3 linked regions of the Saccharomyces cerevisiae S288C genome follow. Changing the gene in region 2 together with the main gene of any one other region gives a genetic interaction. Each region holds a gene or a part of one and is shown on either strand. Other genes may lie near its edges.

Region 1 (2,456 bases), on a different chromosome or scaffold from region 2:
ACAAATTGCAATTGATAGATGATTTTCTGGTTATAAAAAGGAACCAACAAATCGGTAGAAAGTCGACAGTATAACTAGTGGTGAAGCTGTTATTAGAAATGGTAGGGGGGTTTTTTTTTTGTCCTGTCGGCACGTATGGAAATTTATCGTCTATTAAACCTTTTCTTTGATTTGATTTCTACAGTGTACTTTTGTAGGTGTCCTTAATTTCCATTTTTCCGGGTATGCAAAGTTCAACAAAAAGAAAGCCCTGACCAAATTTCTGCGTACATAACGGCTACTGCGCTATCGTTGGGAATATTGTGTGAGAGTATATTTTCATGCTATATATTATAGTAAAAACATAAGAGATTAGACGTGAAAGGAGAGATAGATTACATATATGTATGTATATAACTCGGGTACGGAGAGACAAATTTCAACTTATAATAATGATACAGACGTTAATATGGATAGAATGAGGATACAGGAGCAGGGAGAATTACGGGAAATGGGAAAGAAAAACTATTCTTCTTATTTCTTACTTCCCTTTTTTTCCACTTTCAATAATAATGCTTTATTTATATGAGGCAAAACACCACCTGAAGCAATTGTAGCCCTGATCAAAGAATCTAACTCATCGTCACCTCTAATGGCCAATTGCAGATGTCTTGGGGTAATCCTCTTGACTTTAAGATCCTTGGCTGCATTACCAGCCAACTCCAGCACTTCAGCAGTCAAATATTCCAACACAGCAGTCAAATAAATGGCAGCTTTGGATCCTACTCTTGTTCGGCCGGTAGCGTGCCTTTTCAGGTAACGCTTAATCCTACCGACAGGAAACTGCAAGCCAGCCCTTGCTGAAGAAGATTGAGATCTCAATGAACCACTGTCTTTAGCGCCGGATTTACCTTTACCTCCATGAGCTTTTCCTGACATTATGTTAAGTTATTTTTACGTGCGGCTATAGTGCGAAATTGAATTTAACGATATTTTTTCCGACTGAAGTATAATAGAGTCCGCAGTGTTTTTTAGTTGGGGGTTGTGACTCTATTACACTGGATAATAGTTCAGCTGTTAAATAGAGCTGTATGCTTTATTTGTTGTTTTTTTTGTTTTGTTGTTTTCGTGCACGGAGCGAGCGCGGCGGGTTACGGAACACCAGCGGCCAGTTCTACGAGTAGTAAGTTACGGGCGTAAAGTTACTGTGTGCTAATCTAGCATGGATGCATTCAGTAAACCTTTTCAATTGAGTCTAACGTTCTCTAAAGAAAGAAGAATACTGCTATTTTAGGTATGTGCTTACTACCGCTTGTGCGGACCTGCCCTGATTCCAAGGTAAGAGACAGTGATTCTTGTCCTAAGCTCTTTTCTCCGGGGCGGGCGGGCGGCTGGCAGACATATTGATTGCGGGTAACACCTCCGAGGTTAATTAATCAAGCAACGTGCGGAGTTTTATCACATGGATGTTTCTTATCACCGGGTGCGCGCCACGCAATATATAAAACGGTAAACATACGCTGTTGCAAGGCAAGACACAACAGCGGCAAACACTTCAGAGAATACAGACGATAGTCATCAGCACTCCTAATAATCGTATAATGAATACTATACGAAGCTTTGTGCGTTGCAAAAAGAGCATACCAGGCGAAGAGAGCGCAGTTAGTAGGTGATCGGGAAATTGCTGAGTACAGTTGTTTGCCTCCTGTGATACCGCGTCACATGACCATTTAAAAGTGTCCATAATGTCATCGGTAACGTCACACTCACATGAGTTTTCCTGACTTCAGCCTCCTTCATCTCGCGTTAATACGCCAGCATCGCGCACCATATTACTGCCCGCGTAATCCAATTCCTCCTTTCGTTCTCAATGACTAAAACGCAAATCATTTTTCCTTTTTTTTTGAAACCGGTGGACGCCCCATAGAACTTCCAAATCAGGAAATACCGCAACTTCATCCGTTTTCGTTTCGCTTTAGTCCTCCACGAAAATATCTTGCCGGTTCCGCGAATGTTGTACTGGTTCTTCTGTGCAATGAGCCTTTTTCTCTTCTTTCTTTTTCCCTGCTTTTAAGATGGCTTGGCTATGGAATTACTCAATTTGGCACTTCTTTTGCAAGATCCAGACTTGCAGGGATTCTATCACCATTATTACCACACTACTATGTTATTGTTACGCTTTTCATCCACTTTTATATAAGTTATACGTGGTTTTACGAGTTCTAATATTTCACTTTTCAGCTTGGAATACGCCGTTTTAAGAGGACTAAAAGCAAGGAAATTACACACATAATAATATAAGTAATGATACGTCCATTATGTTCAAAAATTATTATCAGTTACATATTCGCAATTTCTCAGTTTCTACTGGCCGCTAATGCGTGGTCGCCCACAGATAGTTATGTTCCTGGCACCGTGTCGTGTCCCGATGACATAAATCTGGTAAGAGAGGCTACGTCTATATCTCAGAATGAGAG
Region 2 (2,669 bases):
TAAATCATTAAGTGTTTCTTGCGGCCAGAAGGGGCATTATACAAAAGATATGGTTGTTGATACTGAGTATTACGATTTGTTAGGTGTGTCTACCACTGCATCTTCCATTGAAATAAAAAAGGCCTATAGAAAGAAATCTATTCAAGAGCATCCTGATAAGAATCCCAATGACCCCACGGCTACCGAAAGGTTTCAAGCAATATCCGAAGCTTATCAAGTTTTAGGTGACGATGATCTTCGCGCAAAGTATGATAAGTATGGAAGAAAAGAAGCTATTCCTCAGGGCGGCTTTGAAGATGCAGCTGAACAGTTCTCTGTCATCTTTGGTGGAGATGCGTTTGCCTCATATATTGGCGAACTGATGCTATTAAAGAACCTACAGAAAACTGAGGAGCTAAATGCTGAAGACGAAGCTGAAAAGGAGAAGGAGAATGTGGAAACAATGGAAGAATCACCTGCAGACGGTAAGACGAATGGCACCACTAACGCTGTTGATGCAGCATTGGGCAATACTAACGAAAAAGATGACAAAAATAAGGCGAGGACAACTTCTGGTAATTTAACTGTACACGATGGAAACAAGAAAAATGAGCAGGTAGGAGCAGAAGCTAAGAAGAAGAAGACAAAATTAGAGCAGTTTGAGGAAGAACAAGAGGTAGAAAAGCAAAAAAGAGTAGACCAATTAAGCAAAACATTGATTGAAAGATTATCGATATTAACAGAAAGTGTCTATGATGATGCATGTAAAGATTCCTTTAAAAAAAAGTTCGAAGAGGAAGCCAATCTTTTAAAGATGGAATCATTTGGTCTGGACATATTACACACAATAGGCGACGTTTACTACGAAAAAGCTGAAATTTTTCTTGCATCCCAGAACCTGTTCGGAATGGGTGGTATATTTCATTCTATGAAGGCTAAAGGGGGAGTATTTATGGATACACTAAGAACTGTTTCGGCAGCCATAGACGCTCAGAATACTATGAAGGAGCTTGAAAAAATGAAAGAAGCTAGCACGAATAATGAGCCTTTGTTTGACAAAGACGGAAATGAGCAAATTAAGCCAACCACTGAGGAACTGGCGCAGCAAGAGCAGCTATTGATGGGCAAAGTATTGTCGGCTGCTTGGCATGGTTCTAAATATGAAATAACATCCACTTTACGTGGCGTTTGTAAAAAAGTACTAGAAGATGACTCGGTAAGTAAGAAAACGCTTATCAGAAGAGCTGAAGCAATGAAACTATTGGGTGAAGTCTTTAAGAAAACTTTCAGAACCAAAGTCGAACAAGAAGAGGCACAGATCTTTGAAGAACTTGTAGCAGAAGCTACAAAAAAGAAGAGACATACATGAAGTTAGCAATCATCTCTTGTATATTAAAAATTCAAAAATTCACTTTTTTTTATTATCTGTATTCAATATAATATAATGTATATAAGATCACACTAATACTGATAATTCTATTCTTGAAAGAAAGACAATAGAACAATAAAGAAGTGATTGAACTCAGTGACAATGATAATTTATGTGATAAGGAAGTGGTTATGGCTGGAGAATTATGCCACACTTAAATGATAAGCTCTTTTACCTTTCTGGGTTTAGGAATTTTTTGAGATTAATACAGATAAAAAAAAATAGGCCGAACATTAATTACTCATACAACTCAAAAAGTGCAGCGTGCAATTCTAGATCAAGAACATAGATAATATAAACAAAATAACAATGAACAAAATTCAGCAAATCAACGATAAAGAACTACAAAGTGGAATTCTTAGCCCGCATCAATCATGGCATAATGAATATAAGGATAATGCTTATATATATATCGGAAATCTCAACCGAGAATTAACAGAAGGTGACATATTGACAGTCTTTTCTGAATATGGAGTCCCTGTAGATGTAATTCTTAGCAGGGATGAAAACACAGGAGAATCGCAAGGTTTTGCATATTTGAAATATGAGGATCAACGGTCAACGATTCTAGCAGTCGATAATTTAAATGGATTTAAAATTGGCGGTAGAGCCCTCAAAATTGATCATACTTTTTATAGGCCAAAAAGGAGTTTACAAAAATACTATGAAGCTGTAAAGGAAGAATTGGATCGAGATATAGTTTCGAAGAACAATGCTGAGAAACTCATTTTGGCTAAAAAGGACCAACCAAATTAAATAATTTTTTCTTTCATCGCATATCTTATATTCATATAGCCTAGAAAAAAATAATCAATATCATATTTGTAATTCTACATCCTTTCAGAAATTAGTATACATACGTATCTATAGAAAGCAAATTAAATCTTCATGGAAGGGGTGGGGGTGGAGGAATACCTGCAGGTGGAATTGATGGGATACCTGCAGTAGAAACTGGTTGTGCCCCTTCTTCCTCTTCATCTGTACCAACTGATTCAGGAATCGATAAAACGTCATCATCAGAATCGGATCCATATGCGCCCGTGCCTTTTTCAGCACCATTGTAGTTATCAACGTGAGCGATAATAGGTTCTGAAGTGGAAGCTTGTTGAGTTGGTAAAGGTGGGGGTGGAGGCAAAACGCCTCCAGCTAAAGCTGGGGTGGAAGAACCCGATTTTTGCACGGCAGTAGCTATTGCAGGTGCTGAGGGAATTGGAGGTTCTTGAAAGCCATCAACAGCAGGCAAAGGGGGAGCCAACGGGAC
Region 3 (3,828 bases), on a different chromosome or scaffold from region 2:
CTCCTTTATAAAAACGAATGGCTCCTTATTAAACACTTTTATCGTCAATCCACTTACTCTCTAAATATCGTAAGCTTTGCATATATAAGCATATAATAAAAATAGTTGGTATATGCTGCACGTGTAGTCTAATGTTCTTTTCTTTTTTTTCTTTATTCTTTTTTCTCCTCTTTATGAATACAGATATTCAATTTTTTGAATATCTGATTGTTTTTATTTTCATTTCAATTTTTTTTTTTTTTCAATTTTTTTTATCCGATCGTTGCGCCAAGCTTCTATCGCTTAAAACAATGACACTTCGCTGTGAAATGACACAATGGCTTGAGATTCAGGCACAACGCAAAAGGTCTTTACAAATGTATATCACAGAATATTAATGTTTGAAAAGTACTTCCGAATTCAAGGCCACCACGTAGCCTTATACACCAAATACAATTATACACAGGTTTCAAACTTGAGAAAAACAAGATATTGAATATTAAAAGCTGGGGCTAGTAGAATTTGCTGATTAGGTTAATTGTCATCAAATTCAAACAAACTACCATTTTCAGGGGTATTTTTCCTTGCTTCAATTCTGGATTTCATTTTTGCTCTCTTTTTCTTGTTGCTTTTTGTACCATGAAATTTCTGTGACAGTTTTTTATATGCCTCCTTAGTAGTCAGTCGATTTCCCTTTTCGTCTCTGTAAACCAGTTTTATGTCAGGATCATAATGATCTTGTCTTTTTGAATGAGTATTTGCATTGGAAGAGTCACTAGATGTGAATTGTTCCAGTCCGTGTAGCTTATCTTTTGTATAAGTGCCAGTGCCCGTATGCTCTTTATTTCGGACATCCCTTCGAAGTGATTCACTATTATTAACATCCTTTCCTGGTTTCAAATCGACGTCTCCTGTGGTGAAAACACTCTTTTTCCGAAGATATCCTAGTGTTGATGCAAGACCAGAAAAAAAGTTCGGTGCATTTTCAGCATCTCCCTCGTAGTTTGGTTCATTATTAACTGCTTCAGTCAGTGTATTGTTTCCACTCCCTTCCTTAGTATGTCCATTGGTAACATCTCCGATATTTTTCTCTCCTTCACCATGCACTTTCACTTTATTCTCAGTAGCACTTCGTTCGGAGAGACTGGTATCCAAAGTATTTAAAAAAGTTACCTTTTCGTCGACGACAATACTGTTGGAAATTTCACGCATTTTCAAAATGCTTTCAGTGCGTCGCTTCTCTTCGTCTCTTGCCTTTTCAATTTCTCTAGCGAGGTCCTCTGGCCCTTTCAATTCATTGTTTGAGCTTGTTCTGGGATTTATTATGGTGACTGGCTGTTCTTCTTCCATCCAGGATAAACTTTCATCTTCATCTACTAACTTAACAATTTCCATCTTATCAGTAATTTTTGACTTCCTAGCTTTAGTAGATCTTGGGTCCTTGATCTTACGTTTTTTAATTTTTAAAGGTTTAAAGTCTCCACCATCTTCATCTGACATATTATTTGCGCTATCGAAATTCACTTTAACTTTTCCCGTTGGTGGTTTTGCTGATATAGTATTCGGTGCCTTCATAACACCCTGTTCTGCTCCGATGATTAGATGTGTAGTTGTAATTGAGTGTTTCTCTCCTTCTTCTTCTTCTTCAATATCTAAGCTAGATACATTTAAAATTTTTTTTTTTTGTCTTCTATCTTTATTCATTTGTCGTAATCGTAGTTTCTCTCTATCAGCGTTTTCCTCGGCAGCTTTCACATTCTCTAACACTTCGGTAGAATCAGTATCATCAAAAATACTGCTCTCTTTCAAAGTTAGAATCGTATCTTTCTTTGGGCTAAGCGCCTCGATATTATATGATACTTGAACATTATGCAGATCAATATTTTCGTCTTCCTTCGTGGCGCCTTTTCTTGGCAATGTGCTGGAACGTTTGGATTCATGTGAGGAAGGAATTGCATCCATGTTTTCTAGCCATGAACTGTCGTCATTTACATTAGTTTCTTCGAGAAGGTGCGCCATTCGTAAAGGAGCGTTCGCCTTTTTTTGAAACTTTGTTATCTTCTCTCGAAGTTCATCGATTTTGGATGTGTTATGTACATTAGGGGGAGAAGAATTGAAATTTTGTTGGGGTGGGATAAGTTTTAGGCCAAGGGACGCCCTCAACTCATTCGTCTCTTCGATTGACAAAGACTCTTTATGGTCTGTATTCTTTTCTTGAAAAACTGGAATAGGTTTCATACCCAGCTTTTCCCTTATTTCATTTGTCTCCTCAATAGAAAGGTTTTCCGTTTTGTTCATAAATTAATTAAGGGTTGATGTGATGATTGCCTTTTTATTAATATCAAATAGTAACGATTGCACCATCTCATCCTTTGCTCACTTTCAAAAATTTTGTATATCTTTTTCGTCCCGCGAATAATTTTAAGTTGCGCAGTTCACGATATGAATACCTATAACTGCTAATGGTACAAATTTTTTAAAGGTTAAACAAAACTTTTAATGATATAAAGTACCTAAAACTATGTAAACATAAATTATGTATACTATTTCAAATATATCACCTAAAAAAAATAATAAGTTCAATTCAATATGGGCGTACAGCACTAATTTACAGATTATGGAATAAAATATGAAATGAGAAATAGGTTAAGCATTGGATAATTATAGAAAATTTTCTAAATCCAAATAAAAGGGAACGCGAGGGGTCACTAATTATTAAAATGTAAAATGCATCCTTATTTCTTCTCTTTCTTCTCTTTCTTGGACTTCTTTTCCTTCTTCTCTTTCTTCTCTTTCTTCTCCTTCTTTTCCTTCTTTTCCTTCTTTTCCTTCTTGTCCTTCTTTTCCTTCTTAGCTTTTTTAGAATCCTTGGAATCTTCATCATCGTCTCTCTTTCTCTTCTTTTCTTTCTTTTCTTTCTTTTCTTCCTCTTCATCATCAGAATCGGATTCAGAATCAGAAGCAGCCTTTGCGGTATCAGCATCTGCATTGTAGGCCCTAGCTTCAGTCATTTCCACCTTCTTAGCCTCACGAACAACCTTTGGAGTAGTTCTTAAATCTCTACCTTCTAATTGGGATAATCTATTTTCTACTTTGGCTCTTGATTCTAGACCAATGTCACCTGAATCGTCTCTATCTTCAGCTAAAGCATCATAACGCAATGAGACAGCGGCCTTAGCAGCCAGAACTCTTGCAATCTTACCTTTGTTCTTACCAGTAGCTTGACCAACAAGAGAGGCATGATATAGCAAACCATACTTTGGTGTATCATGCTTGGTCTTTAAAGCTCTGAATAAAGCCTTTTCGGCACCTAATATTTGGATGGTAGAAGCTGGTGATTTGGCCAAGGAAATTAAGGAACCTGAATGAGCGATAAGTCTAGCACCAACTAATTCACCAACCAACTGAGTCAAGTTTGGAGCAATAGCCTTCATTCTTGCAGACAAGTAATTGGACAACTGTTCTCTGTAAGCGGCAAATTCGACTATTTGTTCAGCTAAAGCATTAATGTTGTCTAGATCGGTTTGAGTGATTTCAGTACCCATAGACACTTCAGCAGCGGTTTTGACACGTTCTTCAATCTCTTCTGGTAAGATTTCACTCAAATCTGTTTCAGAAGCCTTGGATCTGATACCCATTGTTAGAATAATTCTCGCATAAGCGACGGAATCAGTAACAATCTTAGCTAACTCAGGAAAGTGCCACCCGTACCATTCTTTACATCTCATGGCATATGTGTTTAATTCTTTATCTAAATCATCCAATAAAGCAATTGCTTGAATAATCATAACATCAACTTTGTCAGCAGAAAATTTTAATTTGTGACGACCGATGGAATGAGCTAAACCC

What was found. Genes that interact genetically often act in the same process or in processes that back each other up.
Region 1: mutations in IST3 (region 2) and HTZ1 together harm fitness more than expected from each alone (negative genetic interaction), as found in Saccharomyces cerevisiae (7 studies listed by BioGRID, with this or other methods).
Region 3: mutations in IST3 (region 2) and SNU66 together harm fitness more than expected from each alone (negative genetic interaction), as found in Saccharomyces cerevisiae (6 studies listed by BioGRID, with this or other methods).

Annotation. Positions count from the first base shown.
Region 1 is NC_001147.6:303,066-305,521, forward strand, and holds HTZ1 (histone H2AZ), read right to left. Parts: upstream 919-2,456; coding exon 514-918; downstream 1-513. Other genes in the region: PLB3 (lysophospholipase), read left to right, coding at 2,284-2,456. UniProt on the Saccharomyces cerevisiae protein: Variant histone H2A which can replace H2A in some nucleosomes. Nucleosomes wrap and compact DNA into chromatin, limiting DNA accessibility to the cellular machineries which require DNA as a template.
Region 2 is NC_001141.2:363,172-365,840, forward strand, and holds IST3 (U2 snRNP complex subunit IST3), read left to right. Parts: upstream 1-1,717; coding exon 1,718-2,164; downstream 2,165-2,669. Other genes in the region: DJP1 (Djp1p), read left to right, coding at 50-1,348; actin cytoskeleton-regulatory complex protein PAN1, read right to left, coding at 2,295-2,669. UniProt on the Saccharomyces cerevisiae protein: Required for pre-mRNA splicing and spliceosome assembly. As part of the pre-mRNA retention and splicing (RES) complex, required for nuclear pre-mRNA retention and efficient splicing. Required for MER1-activated splicing.
Region 3 is NC_001147.6:894,111-897,938, forward strand, and holds SNU66 (U4/U6-U5 snRNP complex subunit SNU66), read right to left. Parts: upstream 2,278-3,828; coding exon 514-2,277; downstream 1-513. Other genes in the region: RNA-processing protein NOP58, read right to left, coding at 2,715-3,828. UniProt on the Saccharomyces cerevisiae protein: Component of the U4/U6.U5 tri-snRNP particle, one of the building blocks of the spliceosome. Required for pre-mRNA splicing.